Schizosaccharomyces pombe: one gene and its partners. The protein of the gene in region 1 binds, or shares a complex with, the protein of each later gene. Each region holds a gene or a part of one and is shown in the gene's direction. Other genes may lie near its edges. The genes, in order: tim14, pam17, tim16 and tim44.

Evidence for each region.
Region 2: tim14 (region 1) and pam17 share a complex: the UniProt entries of both Schizosaccharomyces pombe proteins name them as parts of the PAM complex.
Region 3: tim14 (region 1) and tim16 share a complex: the UniProt entries of both Schizosaccharomyces pombe proteins name them as parts of the PAM complex.
Region 4: tim14 (region 1) and tim44 share a complex: the UniProt entries of both Schizosaccharomyces pombe proteins name them as parts of the PAM complex.

What each region holds. Positions count from the first base shown.
Region 1 is NC_003424.3:1,693,104-1,697,053, forward strand, and holds tim14 (TIM23 translocase complex subunit Tim14), read left to right. Parts: upstream 1-1,912; 5' UTR 1,913-1,998; coding exon 1,999-2,001; intron 2,002-2,028; exon of another isoform or gene 2,029-2,048; coding exon 2,049-2,096; exon of another isoform or gene 2,097-2,149; coding exon 2,150-2,521; 3' UTR 2,522-3,381; downstream 3,382-3,950. Other genes in the region: HOPS complex subunit Vps16, read left to right, coding at 1-1,618; hydroxyacylglutathione hydrolase Glo2, read left to right, coding at 3,468-3,586, 3,729-3,950. UniProt on the Schizosaccharomyces pombe protein: Essential component of the PAM complex, a complex required for the translocation of transit peptide-containing proteins from the inner membrane into the mitochondrial matrix in an ATP-dependent manner.
Region 2 is NC_003424.3:1,553,087-1,556,404, reverse strand, and holds pam17 (putative TIM23 translocase complex-associated motor subunit Pam17), read left to right. Parts: upstream 1-1,584; 5' UTR 1,585-1,613; coding exon 1,614-2,024; intron 2,025-2,112; coding exon 2,113-2,191; intron 2,192-2,238; coding exon 2,239-2,270; intron 2,271-2,332; coding exon 2,333-2,404; 3' UTR 2,405-2,818; downstream 2,819-3,318. Other genes in the region: U4/U5/U6 small nuclear ribonucleoprotein complex subunit Snu66, read right to left, coding at 1-1,271; protein Dbs2, read left to right, coding at 3,192-3,318. UniProt on the Schizosaccharomyces pombe protein: Component of the PAM complex, a complex required for the translocation of transit peptide-containing proteins from the inner membrane into the mitochondrial matrix in an ATP-dependent manner.
Region 3 is NC_003423.3:884,858-888,183, forward strand, and holds tim16 (TIM23 translocase complex subunit Tim16), read left to right. Parts: upstream 1-1,635; 5' UTR 1,636-1,758; coding exon 1,759-1,807; exon of another isoform or gene 1,808-1,872; coding exon 1,873-2,210; 3' UTR 2,211-2,790; downstream 2,791-3,326. Other genes in the region: SPOM_SPBC713.09 (uncharacterized protein), read left to right, coding at 102-143, 185-1,330; plasma membrane proteolipid Pmp3, read right to left, coding at 3,142-3,285. UniProt on the Schizosaccharomyces pombe protein: Essential component of the PAM complex, a complex required for the translocation of transit peptide-containing proteins from the inner membrane into the mitochondrial matrix in an ATP-dependent manner.
Region 4 is NC_003423.3:2,203,729-2,207,878, forward strand, and holds tim44 (TIM23 translocase complex subunit Tim44), read left to right. Parts: upstream 1-1,734; 5' UTR 1,735-1,825; coding exon 1,826-3,109; 3' UTR 3,110-3,645; downstream 3,646-4,150. Other genes in the region: securin cut2, read right to left, coding at 1-478; methionine aminopeptidase Fma2, read left to right, coding at 4,004-4,150. UniProt on the Schizosaccharomyces pombe protein: Essential component of the PAM complex, a complex required for the translocation of transit peptide-containing proteins from the inner membrane into the mitochondrial matrix in an ATP-dependent manner.

The sequences.
Region 1 (3,950 bases):
TGGAGGCTCTGTACCATATCTTTATAATCATACTCCTATTGTTTCTACAGAGGTTGACGGAGTTCGAATTCTTACAAAAGATTCAAGTGAATTTCTTCGCAAAGTTCCTGCACCATTGGAAAACATTTTTCATATAGGTTCCAAAACTCCTGGAGCAAAATTAGTCGAGGCTTTCCAGAAAATGAAACTAAAGTCCGTTTTTGCAGAAAAGATGTTATTAGAGTTAAAAGATGAATTACATGATGCAGTTGATACTTGTGTTCAAGCAAGTCTCAATGAATTTTCTATAGAATGGCAAAAGGTGTTACTTGAAGCAGCTTCTCTTGGAAAAAATAGTTTGCGAATGTACAATCATCAAGAATATGTGGATGTTTGTCGTGAGTTAAGAGTTTTGAATGCTGCTAGAGACCCCAATGTTGGGATTTACATTACTCATGAAGAATACTTGCATCTAGGTTTAGAAAGGCTAATCCAACGATTTTCGTGTAGACAATTATATGGCCTCGCTGTTCAGGCATCTATGTGGATGCAGATTCCGTGTGATTGGGTCTACATACAATGGGCTCAGACGTACATAAAGCAATCTAGTGAACCAGAGGAGGTTGTATTGGATAATATTGTTAAACGACTTTCGTCCAGAAAATACATATCATATGAGAAAATTGCTCGCACAGCTTATCAAGAAGGTCGACTAATTCTTTCAACAAAGCTCTTGGATTTCGAGCCTTTAGCTAAGCATCAAGTAATGCTATTGTTAAACATGGAAGCATATGAGCAAGCTTTAAAAAAGGTAATAGAAACTATGGACAATAACCTGATTATTTACGTTGTGCTTCAAATCAAACAACAAATGGCAATAGCGTCTTTCTTTCAAATTTTAAATGAGTATCCTGATGCAGTTAAGGTTTACGTTGAATTTGCCAAAAAGAATGATAGAAAAACTTTACACGACTTCTTTTACCAGGACGATAACAAACAAGGAATCGCTGTTTTAGCGGTAGAAGATACTTTAAAAACTGCGACAGTCAATCAGCGCATTACCTCTTTAAAATCAGCAGCTAAAGTTTGTTCAGAATCCAAGGAACTATCACTTGAAGAAAAATGTTTGGGAGATGAAATAAAATTATTACAATTACAACAAACTTACGAGGATCAATTCACTGGTAATTTTGTTGGGCTAACAGTAAATGAGGTTGTTGTTAAATTGATTCAAATTAATCAAACACAAAGAGCAAACAAATTGAGGTCTGACTTTCAGATTCCTGAGAAGAGATTTGCTTGGCTGAAATTAAGAGCTTTGGTAGCCATCCGTGATTGGGTTCAGATTGAACAATGGGCAGGCTCTATGCGAAGATCGCCAATTGGTTTTGAGCCTTTTGTTACAGAAATCCTTAGTGCCGGAAATAAAAAAGAGGCTGCTAAATACATACCACGATGTACTCAGCTTACTACACAAGAAAAAGTGGATATGTGGGTTCAAGTTGGGGACGTGAAAAGTGCTAGCGAAGAAGCAGCCAAATCAAAAAGCGGGAGTGTTCTTGGTGATCTTTTAGAAAGGGTGCAGACCATGCCCGAAAGTCGGTTTGTTCAGAATGCACTTGATCAATTACGCCGATGACTATTAGAGATATCAATACCAATCTTTTTTTTTTAGGATAAAAAAAAAGATATAAATATTAATGACAAGAATCCATGAATGAAAAGCAACCCAATTGAATTTAGAATAATTTGGATATTTACCGTAAAATAGTTAGTTTTTTTTGTGAGCTAGTTTATATTAATTTTAACAAATTATTTTACAAGAAATATAAAACCCTGAATTTTATGTAATGCAGATTTTTATTAGTAGGATTAAAAGTTGTTATTTATTGGCAACTTAAGCATATACAAGGAGAACCAGCTTTCTTCCTCCACTATCCTCAAGGTATTGGGAATTGAGGAGAATATATATATTTTTGGTTACTTCTTTCACATTAAATAAGTTTTGAGATATAACAAATGGTATGAGATTTTTTTTTTGCCTCACTAACTAACTTATTTTTGATTAGTCGTCTGCTATTCTCCTTGGAGTCGGTATCGCTGCAACGGCTGCGGCAGTATGTGAAAACAGAAAATAAAAGCTTGACATTTGAAATGCTAATGACTTTAGGGGAAAATTGGTGTTGACGCATTCAGAAAATACCGGAATTTGAATGGCGGAGTAAAGGCCTTTCTCAAGGGTGGTTTTGAGTCAAAAATGTCTAGGGCAGAAGCCATTCAAATTCTGTCATTGAACAACCGTACTTTAACTCGACAAAAAATAAAAGAGGCTCACAGAAGGTTGATGCTTGCAAATCATCCAGATCGGGGTGGTAGCCCTTATGTAGCCAGCAAGGTAAACGAGGCCAAGTCACTTTTGGATGCAGATCGATCAATCCGAAAATTTAGTTCATGGGCACTCCCTGTTTCTAAGCAGCGATCAATGCCTAGTGTTCTTGAAGCGGTGAAATGGCTTGAATACAGCTCCATACCGAAAGCTTAAAAGTGATGAATAATGGTCTGCATCGTTGTTAATATTATTATGTGCTGTATCTGCTGGAGAACTAATGTTTTCTTGCTAAAATTTAGCTGAAAGCTATGATGCCCTTAATAGAACTAATCATTGTGTGAATTATTGTTTGCTTTTCCAAAAAACTTTTACTATTCAGTTGCAGACACCTTTTGTCAATTTATTTTATTTTTTGCTTCTAAAGATGTGTGTTTGCTCCGTATAGTACATCGCCTTCGATTCTTTTCGTACTCTTATATCAATCCTTTTTCGGAAAATGCGAAGGAAACCCCGAAATTGTATTTTTTTTTCTTTCTCTACGCTGGAGCTATTTAGTAATTTGATTTCGAGCGTCAATGATTTTGTCTCCTTTTTGATGGTTGTACCGAGTGTTAATAGTTTAACTCTTTTTTAGATTAAATTTGAGTCTCTCATATGTTTCCGGACACTTACTTTCCAAAACGTTTTCAATGGAAAATTGTCAGGTTCTTTTCCATGCATTCCGAGTATCAATTCACAACAAGGATAAGTTAAAAGAAGAATTCGAGCATTTGATTTCCTTAGTCGTAAACAATATCATTCCTTACAAAATGTATACTCTTTGAAATGATTTTAGTTTTTGACTTTTGCGCTTTGAATGACATTGTTAAAACCTACTTCAGTAACAGTTTATATGAAGTATGTTTATTTAAAAATTTATTTCATAATCATAATTAAAAAAAATGAATTGATTAATAAACATCGAAATTTCGCTTCTAACAATGATTATTAACACAGAAGCTGCCTTTACATATCACTCTGACGTTACCGTATATAAGTGCGTACTGTCAAATTTTTTTTGACTTAAACAAATACGTTCTCTAAGATTTTGTTTCTTAGTAGAGTAGGAAGTTTAGTATATTCATTTTTTTTTAAAGTGCATAAGATAATAAGAAACGCGATGTCTTTTCATATTACGCCCATATGGATGTGGAAAGGAACGGGCAACAACTATGCCTATTTGCTGACTTGTGATAAAACCAAAATCACTGCCATCGTCGACCCTGCTGAGCCTGAGAGGTAAGTGAAGAGAATGAAATAACGACTTAAATACTGTTATCTGTGATTTCGGAAACATGATTTTCTCCTCCTGTTTTCCGAATTGTTTTGTTTGTGCGCTCCGTAACATTTAATTAACCAAACTAACATTGACAAACTCTAGTGTTATTCCTGTCATAAAAGAGAAAACGGCGAAGAAAGAAATTGATTTGCAGTACATTCTGACCACTCATCATCACTATGATCATGCAGGCGGCAACGAAGACATTTTGAGCTACTTTCCTTCTTTAAAGGTCTATGGCGGAAAAAATGCATCTGGTGTCACATACACTCCCAAAGATAAGGAGATTTTCAAGGTTGGAGAAGTTCAAGTTGAGGCTCTTCA
Region 2 (3,318 bases), 140 kb from region 1:
TTTATGCTATTAACAAAAGCACGCGTATCATCAAATATTAAACCGGAAGCCGTGTCCGAGTCCGTCATATCTGTGACTTCTTCGGCATTCTGCAATTGCTCAGCTACATCTTCTGGCTTAAGTATTTTCGCTCTTTTTTGAGCTAGCCTCCTCTGCATTGCAATTGACTGTTGCAAATCATCATCATCAGCAAACGACTGTGTTTCTAATTCGCGCATACGCTTTTGAATCTTCATTTTCTTTTGTTCTTTGAAAATAGCCGAATCTTGCTCAACTGACAGATCACTGTTACTCTGACCATTCGGTAGCACGAAATCAGATGGGTCATTTTCATTTTCATTTTCTGCATCAAGTTCTACTAGACGCTTTCTCCGATCAGACTTTGACTTTTTCTTTTTTGACTTCTTAATCTTTATTTGTCGATAATCTGATTGTTCGCTGCCAGTGATAGTTGGTTCAACGAAAGAGACAAGAGTCCCAAAAGTTTTTTTATTATCAGATTTATGTTTTTCTATAGTAGAATTAACAGTGAGACTATTTTGTGGACCAATGGTCGTAAAAGTATCTTCAGACGGTTGATCTGCTTCCGACTGTTGAAGAAAATCATTCTCATCTTCATACGGTTTGTAGGGGTTATCTTCCTTCCTTTCGTTTTTAGTCTTCCGCTGGACCATTTCAACATTTTCTAATAGATCATGATTATCTTCGTCTAATATATCAGCATCTTTCAATGTAAGGACTAGACCATCGTTCTTGTTTAAATCTTGAAAACCGTGTGCTATTTTCATTCCTTCTAATGAGCTATTCACATTGGGACCAGCATTTTGCGAATGTAGAGTGGATCTTCTGGGGGCGTCATTCTTCGCTTCAAAATTCAATCCATTGCCATTTTTATTCAATGAGGAATTACGCATTTTGAGTATCCACGCTCGAGTATCGTTAGCATCGATTTGATCATCCTCTTCTGCCAATGTTTCAGCGAGTGTTTTTCCTTGCGTTCTGCGTCTTCGTTCATTCTTTTGCCGTAATTTTTCAAATTTGCTTTTCAGTTCTTCTTCTTTCTTCCTATTTATTTCCTCCTGCTCTTGTTTCTTCCAATTTTCATAGGCCTGTTGTTCTTGATCGACATACGAAGACTTGACTGAAGCATCTGAAAGTTCTTTCTGAGGTTTTTCTTCTGAAATATCTAAGGGTTTGAGGCCTAGCGAAATTCTAATTCTATTGGTCTCCTCAATAGAAATCGATTCAGAGGCGCCTGAATTCCCAGACATTATACTAAATCCAACAGCAAGTGACAGACTTTCAAATGCTGATAAATAAATAATAATATGGATTTTTAATAAAAAAATACACTAAACTTGCAACTGACTCAAGGATATGAATAAAATAGGAGAATGGCGAAATACACGAACCGTAATATTGTTTCAAATAATTTACTTAAACTCTCATTTATATCTCACTAAGCTATTTTAGCGTACTTTCAAAAAAAGTTGCGTTTCCTAGTATGCGTCCGCGCTTGCTAAGGAATAATAAACAAAATACGTTAAAAAGAGAAGAGCAATTGAGGCGATACGTATATGAAGTATACATTTTCCAACAAGCAAGGATTCGTTATGATACCTATTATACGGCCTGGTCTAGTTGTAAAAAGATTACAAAGTCCCAAAATATTTTTAACTTTATGGAAAACTTGTTATAATGTAAAAACTTATTCCACTGAGTCTATAAAACAGAAGAAACCTCAAGATTTAAATTGGCCCACATTCCTGAAATTAAGAAAAAGCAGAAGGATTTTTGAAACCTTAACTTCTATTCCTACTGCACTTACCGGACTAGGATTAGGATCCGCCTATTTTCTTACGCGTACTGTTGACCCTACCATGACTATTATGGGTCTTGATCTATTTACTCTATATGTTATTGGAACTATTGCATCCGGAGGGCTTGGATGGCTTTTGGGCCCTAGTATAGGTAGAAAAATATGGACACTGCTTCATAAAAGTCAAGCGAGACAAATTGCAGCGGTACGTTCATTCCCTTAGATAATAGGGGTTATGTTAGCATCTACGGACTATGTTTTCTGAAAGTATTCTAATATATTTAATTTTTTAGAGAGAACAAGAATTTTACCGTCACTTGGTTAAAAACAGGGTTACACCTCAAATGGAAAGCTATTCTAATCCTATCCCAGGTATGCTGTGAAGGCTGCGTCATGATTGATGTCTAACTCTTAATTAGATTATTACGGTGAGAAAATTTACTCCCTTTCTGTATGTGATATGTGTTATCTACTCATTTACTTTGTACACTGATTACTAACTTTTATGCAAAGGACTATCGACGTTGGTTGAGGGATCAGAAGGCTTACATACAACGGGCATTTTGGCGTACAAGCAATCGTTAAATTAGAAGTGTTGAAGTGATAGCTTGTCATATAGAATTGTGGATGAGGTTCTTTTCTTAACACGATAACTAAAAGGATACAGAAGCATTGCCGTATCAGTATTTGTGAAAAGAAGTTCATCTATTGAAATCTGTATAGTCTCAACTTATAGTACAGACTTTTCTCAAGCAAGTGTTTTTGTCCATGTGTAGAGAAATTCTAGTAATGATTATCTTAATTATAATTTACCGTGCATACAATTTCTTACATAATTTGTTGTACATGTCACTCCTGCTATTGAATTTTATCTTTTGCAACAAGCTTTTGCCGTCTGTTCTATGATTGTTGTACAACTGACATGGTAAAACCATTAGAAGCAGATATTAGAAGATTATAAATATATAACATTTTTGTTTGTAATGCATGACATGCCAGTACACAATTTTAATAACAATTAAAAAATGCATTGGTTCAATTTATAAATTACAAGACTGAAACTGATCAAATAAAAAGAATATAGCTAAACCTTTGAAAACATAATTAATAGTTTACAGTATCAGTTTTAACTTGATTACTCCTCCAAAATTCAAGAACCTTTATGTGTAAACATTAATATAGTTTTGATGTAATAAATTAGCGAAGGAGATCAAATGTTGTTTCGCTGCGCGCTATTTGTAGGATTCGTAGGTTGAAAACGAGGCAACCTTGTATCTACCACCTAACGGAAGTAAACAAACTAGTGAGGGCAATTCATACATTTGAGTTAGTTAAAGCGAACTAACTTGAATTATTTATTATTTGTTAAAGGATGACTTCGGCTCTTTACTCTGGTGGTGGAAAATCTGCAGGATCATTGGAATCGGCACTTGATGAAGAACGTCTCGAAGTTTTACGATGGATGAAAGAAAGAGAAGAAAAAAAGCACCGTCAGCTAG
Region 3 (3,326 bases), on another chromosome or scaffold:
TTAAGCCTCACGCAAACTTTCCCTACTTACCTATACTTTACTGATTCTGCCCACACTACAACTCCCTGTTGATTTATTTTCATCTTGTATCAAATTTGAAGATGTCAGATCGTGAAGAAAAGCTAGCTGCAGCTAAACAAAGGGTATGCATAATATTTTGTAACATTTAACTTACGAGTGCTAGTTGCTGGAGGTCAAGAAGAAAAAACGCCAAGCTAAATCTAAAAATTCAGTTGCCGAAGATAATGTTGACCGCGAATCTAATGATGGCAATAATCAAGTAAATGAGCCTACAGGCAATGACAATACTCAAGTAGTTGAAAACACTGAGGATATTTCTGCTTCGAATGTAGTTTCAGCTGAAGGTGCTGAGGCATCCACCGGCGATGCTTCTACTCAGTCTCCGGAAACATCTGAAAATGTCGTTAAAAATTCTGTAGATGAGTCGGTTGCGGAGAAGCCTGAGAAGGAGGATTTAGCGGTAATAGAAAGTGAGGATAAAGCAGCCAAGCCTGATGGTGAAATAAAAAAGAACGTTGAAACAGAGGTCACTTCTCGAAGTACAAGCAGTCAAGAAAAAGATGAACTAGAAAAACAAGTAAAAACCCTGCATGATCTTAATGAACAAAAGGATAAGAAAATCAAAGAATTAAAAGAACGCATTAACGACTTAACTTATGATTATGAAACATTAAAAGCTAATGCGGATGACAGTGAAGGAAAGCAGACACTCGTATCCAAAAGAGAAGCCGCTCTTGAGGAATTCCAGTCAAAACTGTTAATCAGAGAGAATGAGATTAATAAAAGAGAACTGAAGATGAATGGAAAAGAAGATGATCTTAAAAAACGTGAAAAGGACCTTGAAAATCGTCTATTAAAGGTTGAAGAACATGAGAAAAGTTTAAATGAACGTGCCACGAAACTCAGTGAAGCTAACGAGAATTTCAATAATCGTTTCAAGGAGTTTGAGGAGCGTGAAAAATCCGCGATAAAGCAAAATAAAGAACAAAGCTCTGAAGGCTCTAAAACTGCTAACCAAACTCATGAACAAAAGGAGTTGATCAACTCATTGGAAAAAAAGGTTTCGGACATTGCTTTAGAAAAGCAACTTTTGGAAGAAGCTGTTGAACGTTATAAACTAGCGATGGTTGAGTTTGCGGAATGTCAAAGAAGGCTGAAGGAACTTGAAGCGATGCATTTTGAACAGCCTGGCTCCGTGACCGAGAAACTTTTTCCAGATCCTACTAACTTTGAGGTAATCGATAACGTTTCAATTGACTTGACATTGACTGGATTTCCCGGTGCTCACGGCATTCCTTTTTCAGTATGAAGTTAAAGCTTTAATATGATATTTATTATTAAGTCACTATGTTTAAGCTCCATTACCATACTGTTTCAGCGAGTATAAGAAGCCCTAATGAATAAGATGATTTGAATTTACAATCAGTTTACATGATCTTTGAATTGTGACGAGTAGTAAAACAAAGTAAAGAATATAAAGCAAATTCATAATATATTAATATTTTTTTGTCTAAAATAGTGAACTTTATGCTTCTTATTATTAAATCAAGGTTGTAATTTGGAAGTAGTATTAGATTCTTTGATATGAAATCTGCCTTATAAGGAATTTTTACCACCACCCTTTTTACAAGAAAATTTGTGAAAATTCCTGTTTAGGGCATGTGTATGTCTGAAAATAAAATAAAGGAAGACATTTATCATAATTATTTGTTCAAAATTACTATATTACATTAAAAAATGTCGCTTCCAAGGGCTGTCGGTCGATTTATAATTGTTGGTTCGCAAGGTATGTTTGTGGCCATTCTCCTATCAAGGATTTATTCAAAAGATTAAAAACCCTAACAATATTAGTAATGAGCAAAGCTTTTGTACAAGCTTATAAGCAAATGATTGCTAATGCAGCTCAACAAAGTACTGGTCAAGCTGCTGCTTCCAAATCATCAACTGCTGTTCGTCGAGGTGAAATGACTATTCAAGAAGCTGGTAGCATTTTAAACATTAAGCCAGAATCATTAGAAGAAGGAGAGTTAGAAAAACGATTTCAAAAAATGTTTGAGATTAATGATCCTAAAAAAGGAGGATCTTTTTACCTCCAGAGCAAAGTGTTCCGAGCTCATGAAAAATTGAAAAGTGAACTGGATCAAAAAATACAAGAACAATCCCCAGCGAAACCAACCAGTTCACCTTAAAACTTTCTTTGATTTTGGGTTGCTAGCTATTGCTACGTATTTACCGACACGTCTACCTTAATTTAATGTAAAATGGAATCTATCTTTTTTTTTTTTTTAAGAAAAAAAGAAGCAATGGGATATATTTTTGTTTACGAATAGTTGAAGAAATGTGAGGAGGTTGATATCCTCATATTTTTTTGAATATGCCCTGTACTATGATAAAAGGAAAATTAACACTAGTCTAGCTATCCACATACCCTCAATGCCGTTAAACCAGAGCCATATATTGTCAATGTGATGAGAGATGTACATTGATATGGATTGACTTCAAACGAGAGCCTGAGGTTAAGCCAAAACTTACTTTTCGACTTTTAACTGTCGCTGGCCAATCCTTAAAGTTAGACTGGGCTGCGGGCACCATGAAGAGATCAATAATCTAATCTATTCCCAGATATCAATCATTACACACTACTATTGAAATACATTTTGGTTACAAATAATGAATAAGACACAAAAAAAAGAACCGTTAAACTAATATATTTAAAGAATATAAGTTCCAGTTGAGCAAATGATAAAACATTCTTTTATGTAAAACAAGAAGACTATTGGGCTATAGCAAAAAGTATACGGTAAAATCATTCGCCCAATTATGGATAAAAAAAGATATCATGGTTAAGCACAGTCGATTTTGGGAAAGGAAAAAAAAATGAGTGCAAACAACCGTGATACTATTTTGAACTTTTTTCTTAGTAAAGAAAATCCGTTTTTTTGTTTACTAATACAAAAGCCATGATATCCTCACAACATTTGGTATTAAATGAAGCGAATAATAAATTCCTAGAACAGACAAGAGAAGAAGCAAAGAATACACATGTCTATTTCACTTTCCTTTATAAACATGATAAGTAGCGAAAAGAACAAATATTAGAGGATTGAAATAGAGGGATGCTTAGTATTTTAAGATGATATAGAGAGCGTGAATAATACCGGGAACGTAACCAAGACAACAAAGAAGAATGTTGATAATAACGTCAGCACCACAGCCACGTTCCAAGAAAACGCCCAAGGGAGGGAGAATAATGGCGAAAATTACCTGTGTCATATATTAGCATTGAGTCAAAAAGAAGCGAAATT
Region 4 (4,150 bases), on another chromosome or scaffold:
CCTTATTCTGCATGCTAGGCCAAGGATCGAGCGTTTCACAATCAATTGCAACGTCGTCAAACCCCAGGGATTGAATGGGGTCCAAATGAACAGGAGGAGGCATATATTCGATATCTTCTTCAAGTTCATTTGGTAAAGGAGTGTCTGTTAAAGAGGAACGACGAGGGCTAGCCGAAAGTCGCTTCGACCGCTCTTGTACGGCTGATCGGGAAATTCCTTGTGAGTTTGGCTCCAAAATAGTAGGGGAATCCATCGAAATATCCATAGGAGACATTTTCTTTGTACTGGGAGCAGAAATAAATTTGGAAATGTTAGTACTCTTACCTCCCAGTACCGTTCTAGGAACCGTTACAGAAGAAGGTGCATTCGACTGCTTTGTAGACCCCAATGGTGCTCTTTTGGAGCCCGCTCCTTTTGTACCATTTCTGTTTGATATGGGAGTTACAGGAAAAGCGTTTTCTTTTCCATATGAAAACATGGTTCTTGGCAACATCGTTGTCTATAGTCCAAGGCTGGTTTATTATTTCACAGGTGACATTCAATTGTGACCTGCACAATTTAAAATAGTAAACAAAGCGATAATTTGAAGAAATATGATCACCTTTTAAATTTTTACTTTTACAAATGCATAATAAATTGTTTTGTTTTGTTTTTGAATTGCTTAATTGGATTGAAGATGATTTATGATATTCAGGTTGCTTTTATCGTCTAGTGTTCAAGATGGAAAACCAGTTCTTCATGAAACAAATAATTTTACATTCCAACTATACTATGTTGTAATCATTCTGAATCATTATCAGAAAAGTTGGAAGTGTATTACAACTGATCATTTCGTATAAACTTGATGTTGAATGAATCTAAGCTTTTAAAGCTAGATCTGTCTGCCAAAATTGATCAGTTATGACTTTAAGTATCCCATTTCGTTATTGAAGCTGAAAATTTACAACCTGTGATAAATAATATAGGAGCTTCAACAACTGTTTTCATAAAAAATCATGAAACACATTAATCATCAGAAAAATTCGAGGTTTACTACAACTTAAATGCGCCTTTTGAATTCTGTATAAACCAGCTACTTCCTTATTTTCAAATAAATTTCATCAAAGAAACTTAGGGGCACAACAAACGTCGCATGTTATTAGAAAGAATTACATACAAACATTCTATCAAACTGATAAAAAAAAAAAAAAAGATACAAAATTAAGAGATCTTTAAATTTTTCTAGATTTGAAAAATCTCTACAAATGAATAAACGAAACTTCAAAATGCTAATTAATACTATTGCTTTTATCTCCAAAACCCGCTACATACTCAAATTATCCAGTTCTATATAACGCATTGTAATATATCTATGCTGCTTATTGAATACTTTTTTTCATAACTTCATACGATCTCTTACCACCCACATGGTATCGATTCCCAACAATATTGTAAGCAACAGCTACGACTGTTTCAACCAATACGAAAGGAAATTGATCGGTACTCTTATTCTTTAATATATTAGGATCATGCGTAATTTATGCTTCCCTCTATATCAATATTTTAATAGTTGCATTTCAGATAAAATGAGCGAATTCGTAAAAATTCTAATCGTAAACTCCTCTTAGTAAAGTAAAAAAGTCCAAATATAAGAGAATATGCTAACTTTTGTTAACAAAAGACTACTTCTCGATATTTAGGATTAAGGTATCTTTCCACCTTTGTGGCACTTGAACCTTCCATCCACCACTCACTAGGCTGCTATATCGGTTTGCAATAAAAGGCAGCAAAGTGGATTAATTTTCGCGTAATAGCGTTGAGATTTATTTATTCAATAGGAAAGAAAATGTTTCTATCAAGAAAAATCACAAAAAATGCCCGCACAATAGTTCAATGCCAGCGGTTTTTCCAAACGTCTATATTCTCTCAAAATGCAGCACCTCAATCGCCAATCAAGGTGTTCATGGATACATTTAGAGCAGAATTAAAGAAGAGCCAGGAATTACAGGACAGTGTCAAAGCATTGCAAGATAGTTCAGGATCATTAAGTGAAAGCGACACTTTCAAAAAAGCGAGAGATGCTTACGAAAAAGCGCGCTCGGGAACTACTGCAGCTTCATCTTTCACAGGAAAAACTGTTGGCAAAGCTGGTGCCAAGATTGGCTCATATGCCCAAAAAGCTTGGGAAAGTGCTCCTGTACAATTATCAAAAAAGGTCATTTCAAGCACCGCTAATACTGTAGCTACTGGTGTTGACACTGCCACAAAACCCGTACGTGAAACTGCATTTTATAAAACAATTAAGCAAACAATGTCTGATGGTAGCACCTCTTCACGTTATGGATTTTATGCTGACAAGGAACAACGTAAAAAATTGCGTGAAGAATTTGAACGTCGAAACAGAATGTTTGCTAGCTCGGCAAGGATTCAGCCTAACGAAGACGTCCAAAGCGTCGTCGTACATAGCAACCCGTCGTGGAAGAATAAGGTTGAGCAAATAAAAAACGAATCGCGTTTAGTTCGTAAAATTCAAGAGCTTAAAAAAAGTTATCAGGAGTCTGAACATCCTATTGTCTCCTCCATTCGTGACATGGCCGACAGTATTAGTGGCGTTTGGTCTCGAATGTTTTCAGAAACTGAAGCATCGCAGGTTATGCGACGCTTTAAAGAGATTGACCCATCCTTTAATACCGAGCATTTCCTTCAATATTTAAGAGAATATATTGTCCCGGAAGTTACCGAGGCATATGTTAAAGGAGACAAAGAAGTGTTGAAGACTTGGCTTTCGGAAGCCCCCTTTTCCGTATATGAAACTACTACCAAGGAATATGCGAAACATGGAGTTGTTAGTGTTGGTAAAATCCTTGACATTCGTGGCGTCGACATCATGTCTCAAAGACTTTTACAGCCAAATGATATTCCCGTTTTTATCGTCACTTTTCGTACTCAAGAGGTCCATATGTTTAAAGATGCTAGCAGTGGCGAATTAGTTGCAGGAAAGGATGATCGTATTCAACAATGTACTTATGCTTCTGTCTTTACACGTGTAGAAGACGAGCTTGATAATCCGGAGACAAGAGGTTGGCGTATCGTTGATTTCGCACGTGCACGAGCCGTTGATTATTTCTAAATGCGAAAATATTCCAAACATTTGTCTTTCTATCGGCTTCTAATTTTAACATGTAAACATTTTTTTTGGAATCAGATTTTTTCTTCCTGCATAGCATATTTCGTTTGGGTTATATTTCTCTGTCACTCATATGATTAATTACTATTTAATATTTCAAAAGTTTTGTCAAGTTTGGAAATAACTCTTGGATTTCCTGGACTATGTCCACCATCATCTACTTAAGAAGACCGCTGATATTCCCTAATGATCGATCTTCTTTTTTTTTTTGTTTCTTTTTGATGACAAGTCTAAGCTTGTCATTCTTTTTTTTATCACATTTTTCGTTTGTCTACTTTGAAAAGTCTTTAATGTAGTAGAAGATTTTATTAATTTAAAATCTTTTATTTAACTCGGGTTTTGCGGGATGGGTTTAAGAATTGAGGTTTTGCTATCTTTTTCTTAAAGGATACGCGTGTTTAATACTTTTTCAACAATCGTATTTTAGGACGCGTGCATTTTTTAGCTCAATATCATAATCACTTTAACATGTTTTATAATATTTCCAATAGTTTTGGATTAAATAGTGCAAGAAATATTTTAAATTGGGAAAAATTTGGAACATTTATATTAACAAATAGATGTAGAGAATTTGACCTTTCATAAATTAATAAACGGTTGGTTTTAAAATTAAAATGGATACTTGTTGCTTGATATCCGACTCATTATCCCTTTTTAAACCTTTAATTAAGTAAATCTCAATCCTTTTGTTTGTATATTATAATCTCCTAAAATTGAGGCATAGGTTGCCATGACTACTGGTTTTTGGTGGTAGCACTGTTGTAACCTGTGGAGGTACATATACTCAACTTCCTCCTATATCAGATTTGTTTAGACAGGATTTAACAATCTTAAACAATGACTTCTGCGACAACTACTGAAGCTACCGCTAAAGATTTACAGGAGAAGCTTTCGCTGAAAGAGAACGACGTGGTTGAAGATGATGGAAAAGTAGAGGAAAATGATGCCGCTGAAGAAGGAGCCAGCAATGGAGAAAAGAAGAAA